Drosophila melanogaster: one gene and its partner. The protein of the gene in region 1 interacts with the protein of each later gene in a pairwise test. Each region holds a gene or a part of one and is shown on either strand. Other genes may lie near its edges.

What was found.
Region 2: the proteins of Vps39 (region 1) and Rab2 interact in a two-hybrid assay, tested with the Drosophila melanogaster proteins (2 studies listed by BioGRID).

Annotation. Positions count from the first base shown.
Region 1 is NT_033777.3:18,270,383-18,276,048, reverse strand, and holds Vps39 (vacuolar protein sorting 39), read left to right. Parts: upstream 1-1,602; 5' UTR 1,603-1,695; coding exon 1,696-1,765; intron 1,766-1,817; coding exon 1,818-2,290; intron 2,291-2,351; coding exon 2,352-2,601; intron 2,602-2,659; coding exon 2,660-2,907; intron 2,908-2,962; coding exon 2,963-3,846; intron 3,847-3,900; coding exon 3,901-4,303; intron 4,304-4,366; coding exon 4,367-4,669; 3' UTR 4,670-4,860; downstream 4,861-5,666. Other genes in the region: eIF1A (eukaryotic translation initiation factor 1A), read right to left, coding at 908-1,111; CG18599 (uncharacterized protein), read right to left, coding at 4,948-5,456, 5,574-5,666. UniProt on the Drosophila melanogaster protein: Part of the homotypic fusion and vacuole protein sorting (HOPS) tethering complex involved in endo-lysosomal vesicle trafficking and lysosome biogenesis.
Region 2 is NT_033778.4:6,695,131-6,700,275, forward strand, and holds Rab2 (Rab2), read left to right. Parts: upstream 1-1,608; 5' UTR 1,609-1,753; coding exon 1,754-1,799; intron 1,800-2,285; coding exon 2,286-2,445; intron 2,446-2,918; coding exon 2,919-3,255; intron 3,256-3,315; coding exon 3,316-3,414; 3' UTR 3,415-4,339; downstream 4,340-5,145. Other genes in the region: Mob4 (MOB kinase activator 4), read right to left, coding at 464-713, 762-1,135, 1,210-1,269. UniProt on the Drosophila melanogaster protein: May be involved in bidirectional endoplasmic reticulum (ER) to Golgi trafficking. Together with Rab7 involved in promoting fusion of autophagosomes and endosomes with lysosomes, probably through recruitment of the HOPS tethering complex.

The DNA of each region.
Region 1 (5,666 bases):
CCAGGGCTAACTCAGGTAGGTGATAAGGAGGAACTACCATTGCGGACGTATGGTATTTCATGGAATGCAGTTTGACCACCCAAATTAGTGCTATAAAGGAGGCTGTATTCGCAATTGAAAACATGTAACTGAATAGCTAATTCAAATGCAAAAGATATACGCAAAATTTTGCGTAAGGTGTACTACCATGAAAAAATTGAAAAAAAAAGTGCGTAGCAAAACTTTTTCACTAGCTTAGTTTCAGAATCGCTGAAGTGAAAACTGACTATATATATCATACTTCTTATGATATATATATATATACTTATATGATATATCATACTTCTATTGTTTAAAATGATATATATTGTATCAATAAAATTAAATTTCATATGGTTTTAAGTAGACAGTAAAGTGAAATTGACTATAACCTCGACAGAATAGTACTTATTTTAAGTATTACGCCTTTTTACATTTCAAATCGAATTATTTGAAAGAATTAAGTATCGGCGGTCACCCTGTATTTGCAGTGCTATTGCTTTGCTTTCATCTACATACATACATCAGTGCATAGGCACTTGCGTATTATTAATCAGCCGCCCCGTCCACACCGCCCACTGCTCTTTTGTTAATGCATTCGCACAAGGACGATGACACCCACTCAATAATGGACCAGTAAAAGAGAATTGCAGAAAAAGAGAGTTGAAAATTAGGTATAGAAAGGTCGAAAGTTAGCAGGGTAATGCAAAATCCCCCAAAATCACAAAAACTGCCTGCATTTCAACAAAAACAATAACGTAAATACGTAGCATTCGCTGGCAATCAATGCCAAAATGGCTTAAGAGAGCCACCTTAGAGAGGGGCACCCACTCAACGCAAGCGAAGAGAGCACAGGCGAAACAAAGAGCGTAGTCAGAGCAGCACTCACCTTCTTGCGAAGTTTCCCCCGAATGTGACACAGGCGTTTGACGCCATCAAAGCACATTGCCTCCAGACGACCGTTGCCCAGCATCTTGGTCACCTGCGCGTACTCCTGTTGGTCCTCCTTGAAGATCAGCTCACGCTTCTCGAACTCGTTCTCGTTCTTACCACGACGACGATTCTTGCCTCCTTTTCCTTTATTCTTGGGCATTTTGGCTGTTTGCTGTTGTTGCTGTGCAGCTACTTTCGATGTTGTTGCTGTCTGCGGGCTTGTTGGCGACCCTGGAGCGGGAACGGGGTAAAACTGTTACTCAACGACTTCACTGGGTGGGTAGTAATGCAATGAAAACATTCAACCCGAAATAAAGCGACAGAGTTGTTTCAAAACTTACAATTTTGTCAAATGTAAATGTGACAATTTCGCCTCGCTAAAGTGAAAAGGACTAGAGGTGGACGGTTTCGCGGGGAACCAGTATATCGAACTGGTGCTATCGACAGCAATGCAGAGTCTGGCAGCATTCGTTTAAAGTATCGTAATTTAAAATTTCACTCAACTTTTTAGTCATTAGCGATTGAATCTTAAATTATAACATGTACAAATTTTATTTTCTACTTTGTATATTTAAGTTATTTCGCTATCACCATAAGAGGAAGAAATCGATTTACCACCGCTAAAGCTATCGATATCTATCATCATCAGCTATCATTAGTGGTACTCCCATCTGGTTTGTTTATAAGCTTTTTTACGAAAATAAATTGAGGCGGAGGAGACCGAAGTTTTTCCACTTGGCCAAGATGCACCAGGCCTACAGTGTTCACTCGATCCTGAAACAGGGCGTGCAGATAGAGTCAATTGCGGCATATGGTGAGTGGAATTTTCGGTGCACAGCTATTACTCACCGGACGCATTTTTTCAGGCAACCATGTCATCTTGGGCACCCGCAGCGGACAGCTGATCATGTACTCTGTGGACGAGGAGACGGGCGTGGACATGCGGATGTTCAACAAGAACTTCAGCCGGAAACCGATCACCCAAATGGAAGTGATTGCCTCGGAGAACCTGCTCTTCGTACTCACCGACTTACAGGTGCAGGTGTGCGACATTCGGCGGATTGAGAGCAACTTCGCTTTCATGCACAGTGCGCCCGACACGAAGGGATGCACCCTGTTCACCATGGACGTGGACACGCCGAAGTCCACAACCGGACGTGTGGCCACCGTCATACGGGTGTGCTGCGCTATCCGGCGGCGTCTTGTGTTCTTCTTTTGGAAGGAGGACAAGCTTAATTCCCTGGAATTGATCATCGAGCTCAGCGATGTGCCCAGGACACTGTGCTGGGTGGGCCATGCTGTCTGCGTGGGCTTCAAAGACGAATATGTTGTTTACGATGTGAGAAATGCTTTAAAGTCGATTTACTTCGTATTTTAAAGGTCTGCATATCCAATTCTAGATATCAGGAAAAGCACCAAAGAAGCACAACCTCTTCCTTACCTCCTCTAGTATCAGCAGAGATCCCTGCATTTGCCTTATCCGGAACAACATGTTGGGCATCTCTAAGGACAGCTACCTCGTCGTAGTAGATCCGAGTCAGTACAAAGAATCGGATGGAATCAATAACTCAACAGATGTCCGGCCAGCTGCCATGGACAGCAATAGTTCCCTAACTCCTCTGCTCTGGTCAAGTCCGCTTTTAGATCTGGGTACGATACTCACTATTCACTTCAAGCCAATTTCTAAATCACATTATCTTCATTACAGTCTGGGATGAGCCATTCGCTGTGGGTCGTGTCAACAACGCCATCGAGGTGCGCAGCCTAGTGGGCAAGGACACCCTGGTCCAGACCATTCCCGAGCTACAGAAGACGAAATTCCTGGTTCACGCCGACAAGGGAACCATCTTTGCCGCCGCCACCTCCGAGCTTTGGTGCATTCGAATGGTGGAAATCCCTATCCAGCGTCAGCAGTTGCTACAGCAAAAGAAATTCCAACTGGCTATTGAGCTGACGGTGAGTCCGATAAACGAAATCAAAATACGACGACTACAACAAACTTTATGTTCAGCAAATCTCCGATGAACCTGCCGCGGACCGAGCCCAAACCATTCGCCAGATACACATGCTCTATGCGAAAGAGCTGTTTACCAATAAGGAGTTCTCGGCGGCCATGAAGGAGTTTGAAAAGGCGGCTATAGATCCCTACGATGTGATAAGACTGTTCCCAAACTTGGTGCCAGAACCAAAGCCCGGCACCGAAGATGTCACCGTGCCTACGTCCAGTACTCCGGCGCTTGAGGATAGCGACCTGGAGAACGCCTACTTGGCACTGATCGAGTATCTGGCATGGGCCCGACAGCGGGAGGTGGTCAAGCTGCGCGACACTAAAAGTAGTTCAAAGTCCCTGCTGGAGATCATCGATACAACGTTGCTGAAGTGTTACCTGCAGACAAACGACTCTCTGGTGGCACCACTGCTACGCCTAAACCAGTGCCACTTAGAGGAGTCGGAAAAGACGTTGAAGAAGCACAACAAGATCTCTGAACTTATCATCCTCTACCAGATGAAGGGCAAGCACAAGGAGGCCCTTAAACTGCTTCGAGAGCAGGCGAGCATCGAAGGATCTGTGCTGCAGGGTCGCAAGCGTACCATACGCTATCTTCAGGAGCTGGGTGGTGATCATCTGCCGCTGATCTTTGAGTTCGCTGACTGGGTCTTAAACGATAATCCCGAGGAAGGCCTAACCATTTTCACCGACGAACTTATTGAAGTGGAATCCCTGCCGCGCGCCAAAGTTCTTGATTTTTTTATTAGCAAGCACAAAGCACTTGTCATTCCCTATTTGGAGCACGTAATCACTGAATGGAAGGACGGCAACACCCTGCTCCACAATGTGCTCCTCAAGCAGTATCGCGAAAAGGTGCAACGGCTTCTTGCTCAGCAGGAAAAAGGGTGAGAGTCTGTCATTGTACTGGATCAAAATGCTTATACTCACCTGTTTTCTAGAGAGGAAGTTCCCGAACTCATTCCGATGCGAGCCAAGCTCTACAAGATGTTGGAGGAGTCCAACGACTATTCGCCGGATCGCCTCCTAGAGGAATTTCCAACCAATATACTCTTGGAGGAGCGTGCCCTAATCCTGGGCAGGCTCAAAAAGCACGACAACGTCCTGTCCATCTATATTCATGTTCTCGGAGATGTGGCCAAGGCAACGGCCTATGCGGAAGCCCATTACAAAGAGGACAAGCACATATTTCACACGCTCATTAAGTGCATATTAATACCACCAACTCAACCGCTCTATGATGGTGTGCCCTTGCATCCGGATTTCTCGCAAGTGAATCGAGAGGTGGCCCTGGAAATACTTAACACCCACGCCACCAGAATCGATCCATTCGAGATCTTCGAGGTGAAGAATGCATTGAATGCATGACTTATTAGAAATATTTCTCAACCATTTTGGATTTTGCAGCACCTTCCCGATGACATGCCCATGCCCCAGCTGGAGAAATACTTGGAGAAATCTATACGTAAAATGATGGCCGACAAGCACGAGATGCAGATGATGTGCGGCTTCCTGGAGGCAGAGTCCACGCGCCTGGAGAATGCCTTGGAGGAGCAGCGAAACATTAGCTTCGAGTTAAACGAGTCTAGTGTGTGTTCCGAGTGCAAGAAGCGTTTTCAAACCCAGTCCGCCTTCGTGCGCTATCCAAATGGGCACATCGTGCACCTATCCTGCCACGATCGGCTCGCCAGGGCGGCTGCTCAGCAATAAGTGAAATACTCCAATGTGATAACTGATCAAGGTATAAAGTGCGAATTGAGTGTAAATGTCTGTATTATTCTGTTTTTAAATAAGCTTTTTCAGTACTCGTATGTAATGGATATACTGCAATGCTTATACAATATAATATAGTTTGCATTGATTGATTGTAACAATCAACTTGCAGCTAATCATCAACAATTAAAGACAAGCAGAAGTATAGAAAACCGATATTGTACATATTTATTTGACTATATTTACAGGAAACTTGCTTTGCACTGGCGTGGTTTTTAGGCCTCCTCGCTGCCGTCCATGAGGCTGTCGCCGTCCAGGGAATCGTTACAGATGGACAAATCCGACTCGGACTGCGCTCGACTCAACGGCGGTAATGCGCCCGAAAGCGACAGCGAGTGCTTGCTATCCTCGTTGTCCTCCTCCTGCAGGCTGGGCGAGGCTGCACTGCATCCGTTTGTGCGTTCCGTGGACACAGAATGGGCCGCATTGGCCGACACGGATACTTGATTGCCCAATAACGATGTACCTGGCAGTTGAGTTTGCCTTATCAATGCCAGCCGTTGTTGTGTCAGTTCCAAGTGGTGCTTGCGCCACTTGATCCGCCTATTCTGGAACCACACCTTCACCTGAGCCTCCGTTAACTTTAGGGTGTGTGCCAAGTAGAGCCGCTCCGGGCCGACCATGTACTGCTGGCGCTCGAACTCCGCCTCCAGGCACTCCAACTGCTCCGGCGTGAAGATTGTCCGGACGCGCTTGTTCTTCAGTGCGCTCTTCTTGTGAGAATCTGCCGAATCACAAAATGATGATCAAATGGAGGTATTAGATGTGCACACACTATGTTTACTTAATACCCACTTATGATCAAATCATGGGTTATTCATCGACTGAAACACCTGCTTACCCGACTTGAGTTTTTCCCGCTGAAAGCTCAGGGTGGCCTGCTGCTGAGCGTGGTGTTGCTGGTGGAGCTGCTGCAGGCTCTGCAGGGCGGAGG
Region 2 (5,145 bases), on another chromosome or scaffold:
ATTGCAATTTCTGTTGTGTATATAGTAATTTTGTATAGTAAAGTTCACGTTTTAGTCACGTACAGCTGTGTTGGTGTTTTGGCTGCCAGTAGTCAAGGGAATTTAGTTTAGTTTACGGGGATTTGACGTGGAATCAGCCACGAGAAGGTCGTGTGCCTACATATAATTTATTAAAATAAGGAGTTAAACATAATCGTAATATAACTTGCGAAATAATTGCTGACTTAGGATCAGATGGGGCGAGCGGGTTTGAGGGGGTCTGCCCTTGTTACTTAGTTATCGTTATGTAGCTCTATGTGTATCTGACATCTAAACTACATACAAGATCTGCATTAGAGTCGGGTCCGCGTGGAATCGTTTCCCTGTCAGGGTGAGCCAACCCAACTTGCAAGCTATTGGTAAATATAAATAGATGTATGTTGAATGAGTGTTTCATGCGAGTCTGACTAATCTGGGCGGGCTCCTAAGCCTCGCTTTCGCCAGGGGCCGCGTTTTCACCCACGTTGATGGGCACGATCAGATTCTCCTTCGACATCAGATTATATTTTGTGACGAAATGCGTGAAACGGTGGCACAGATACGTCTCGGCCTCGAATTCGTCGAAAATGCGACGATGGTGAAAGTAGGCGTGCGAGAAGATGCGATACACCCGCCGACATACGGAGCCCAGCTTGGTTACCGACGACTCCTTGATGGACACCCTGGGAGAGACACTTTGCTTATTATGTGGCTAGTTCAACCATGTCGCTAAGCCTGCATACCTGCTAGGGAAGTACTTGTTGCTGTTTAGCAGACAGGCGGCACCGTCCAGCGTGTGGCGTGTGTAGTCAATGGCCGGACATTCCTTGGGCGTCTTGTGCGCGGCGCACAGGAATATCCACTGGTCAGTGGCTGTCATCTGGGTGCACGTCGACGGCGAGCACTCCTTCTGCAGCCGCACTGCCAGGCCGTTCAGCTCCATGCAGAACTGGCGCAGGTGCTCGTACTTCCACACGCCCTCATCCTGGGCTTCGGGCATGGTCAGTATGAGTTCCACGTTGCTCGGGTCGCGCTTAATCAGCTGCTGTATGTACTGCTGCACCGCCAGCGTGCTGTCCATCTCCTCCAGGGGCTCGTCGGGCCAGCGACAGAAGTCCTGAAAGGCGAAACGGAAAACGGGTCAGACGGGCCGGGCCGGGATCGTTGTTCGGACGCCATGTCATCGCTCACCTTGGATTTTGTGCCTGGCCGGTTCCTACGCAATATGGTCGAGCCGTCAGCCATCTTCATGTTTCACCCGCTCGAAGACGCGATGATCCACAACGTCTGTGCCTACGCCTTGATGAGAAAATCACTGGCAGAAACTGAATGCTAGCCTGGTCCCTGCCCCGCGGGAGTCTCCGGATGTGGGATCCCTGCACCGTAGTATGCTGAGTGTATTCTACAGGAGCTGGCACATCGCTTGACAATTAATTGGCGTTTATCCTCCAAAACACTTTGCTTTGTGCGAGAAAATTTCTGACAAATTCTACATACATACATATACCTATCGATTGGCCAGCGGCAGTGCGCATCGTTATCGATAGGGCGATTGCAGCCTTGCGGTATTTCGGTATTTCCGCCAGCCCTGGCCACAAAGTGGCCACACTGTCGCTAGCCAGTCATCATAAATACGAACAGATTGGAAAACGTACAAGAATTGCGTATTATCTGTGGCATTACGAGATCGTACTTTCTAAAAACTAGCTTACCGTAACCCCCGTCAGCTTAAAACATGTCCTACGCGTACTTGTTCAAATACATCATTATCGGAGACACAGGTGAGTGCAAGCTGCGACTTCCTTTGAAACGGAATGGCCAGTGAAAAGTTGGCCATTGTCAGGGAAACAATCTGTAATTGCAAACAACACAACAAAACAAAGGGCATCGCAGGCGTAGGGGTCGTACCCGAAAATCAAAAAATGGGGGTTTCAGGTGGTCTCAAGTGAAAAATTGATACCGTGAGATCAAAATTGCGTCGGCAGGAAAATATTCCTGGAGTCGGTGGGCCGAAGGAAAAATCAATAATACCATAACAACGCATACAGGCGTTTGCTGCTCTCAGAGTTAGTGGTGCGCGGGGAGCAGCCCACACATAAACCCTGCTGCTGACTCACCCAACCACCCCCAGTAATTGAGGGATTCCGCCCCAAAGAGCCACGGGCTTATCAGCACTCTGCTTTTCGGGATGTCCAACAGCTGTTGGCATTTTCCAGCCTGTCCCACCTTTTCCCCGCTCGCCCACTAACCCTTTTCCGTTTCCGCAGGCGTGGGCAAGTCCTGTCTGCTGCTCCAGTTCACGGACAAGCGATTCCAGCCGGTGCACGACCTGACCATTGGCGTGGAGTTCGGAGCACGCATGATCACCATCGACGGCAAGCAGATCAAGCTTCAAATCTGGGACACGGCTGGGCAGGAGGCTTTCAGGTACCCACTTCTGTTCATTTAGTGTTAATACTTAAGAAGGGATAAGTGAAAGCTCAGATTACTTCCAAAATTGAACTGAATAAATTTTTGCAAATTTCGTATCCAAAACCCCAAGTCCAAGGCGGATAATAATTCGGCTCGTTTTTTATATTAAATAAAATAATTTGAATAAAATTCTTACTTAATGATCCAAAATAATAATAATATATATATATAGAGCCTTTAGTAAAAAGGCTTAATAATTTGTATTCAAAAAATTTTATTTGCTTCATTTCGGCACATTGTTGATAGATGTTTATTTAAAAAAGTTTTAATTCTATCATTTTTAATTTTTTGTGATATAAATTTTTTATACTTTACTTAAAATTAAATAGAAGTCGTCAGACAGAAATTTAATGGGTTACTAATAATTAAATAATATAAGCACTGTCATTTATATAACTGTATTGTGACGCAAAATATTTCTTGAATAGATCTATCACACGCTCTTATTACCGCGGAGCTGCTGGCGCCTTGCTGGTGTACGACATCACGCGACGGGAGACCTTCAACCACCTGACCACCTGGCTGGAGGATGCGCGTCAGCACTCGAACTCGAACATGGTCATTATGCTGATAGGCAACAAGAGCGATTTGGATTCGCGGCGTGAGGTGAAGAAAGAGGAGGGCGAGGCCTTCGCCCGCGAGCACGGACTGGTCTTCATGGAGACTTCTGCGCGCACAGCTGCCAACGTAGAGGAGGCGTTCATAAATACGGCCAAAGAGATTTACGAGAAGATCCAGGAAGGTGTCTTCGACATCAACAATGAGGTAAGAAGGATACATTTAACTTAGAAACTTCTTGCCACTACATTATTATCTCGTTACTAGGCAAACGGCATTAAGATCGGCCAACAGCACTCCCCCACAAACCCGTCGCTCCCAGGAGCCGGAGGAGCAGCTGGAGCAGCAAACAGTGGCTGCTGCTAGGAGTAAACCGCAGATGCCCGATTGCAATTCTGGGATAGGCGCAGCCGCTTCTGTAAAAGCTACTTTAGTGACTAACTAATAGAAGGTAGTTGAAGGAACAGATTTCTTGTTTTCTATCTCAACCGTAACTAACCACGTAAACATAGCTACCACTAATCTAGCAATTGGACACTAAGCTAAATGTTAAAACCATTAAGATCAGACAGTTACAAGAAACACATCTCCTTGTTCAGCTACGTTTTATTTTACCAAAAAAAACCAAAAGGAAGAAGTAACCAGAAATAAACCAAAACAAACCACATTTGTGTACGTGAATGTCGTGCGTGATTTCTAAATTTTATAAAGTTTATTGAAACATTTTTAAATGTTTTATGCATGTATTTTGTGTATATTGAAGTTAGTTTGCTAGTTACTTCGTGTAAAATCGATAGTTATACATTGGGATTTTGACAAAATGATGTGTAATATATGAACAAAAATCAAACTGTGTGAATTTTCATTGTGATTCGATTTCAGTGAGGTCCAGCTTCGCAACGCTGCGCCACGCCCCCTTTTGCAATGGGTATCTGCTCCGCTTCTCTATACACACATACATAATTAAATATATTAATATGTTTACGTTTCCTTCTCAACGCATTTGCTTTGTCTATTTTGTTGTGCAATCCGCTTAGTCTTTATACATACACTAGAAAAAAAGTACTTTAACAAAATATACAAAACGTGAGGGCCGAAATGGGGTTATATAATTTACACAATCAACATGCATTAACCAGTGGTAACACGAAATGCTGCGATTCAATGATCAATTTAGTATTTTACGAAGTTTATATATTTAATTAACGGCGATTGCTAAGACAAAACGAAAGATACAACTGTAAACGTAAATCAAATTATTTATAATATTTGTATTTGCCCAACACAATGCGGAATAATAAATATACATACTTACTATTAATATAATTATATAAATTAAATCGGTACTTACCTTGGGTTCATTAGCGTTTAATCAAGTGATAGTTAACGACTAATTAGTTTTTTGGTGTCTAGATGAGAAGTAAAACACTAAGGCAAATTTAATGAGGCATTTAAAGTTGTAAACAACTCAACTTTTAAATGAAAAGAGGTCAGACAAATAATTACGCATTAGTGTAGTTTTAACCCTTTTTATTTAGTAAGAGGCTTTCGGTAGATAATTGTTGAATTAATGTCTTGTAAATATTATTAAATGGTGAATCCTTTTTTGTTTATGTACATATTTCCTAAAGTGTTCGGAATTAACAATTTCCACTTTCTATGTCGGCTATAGGGATATAGTGTCGCATTTACTTAATTTTTTTAAATGTGCTTACATGTTAAAACATTTTTTTACTACTGAAATATACTATTTAGAAATATTTTTGTATTTTTTTTTAATAATACTTGAACTTTTAAGATATTACATAGGTTTGTTTCTTATTTTCTGAATCTTATCTGTGTTTTGTCTAAGAAAAAGTTTGCCAAACTGCAAAAACAAGTTTTTCGCTTCAACATTAACTATTTTTTATACCCTAATTTGCTCAGTTGGTTTTTTTTAATTGGAAACTATTCGGATCCGTGACGTTTGATGTACAAACAAATGCTCCAAAGATTTTATTGTGAGTTTTAGATTGATTGAAAATGGTCACTTGTTATTGCATACGTTACATAGATTGTTGTTTATTGTATTCCCTTTAATTAATATTCGTACGAAAT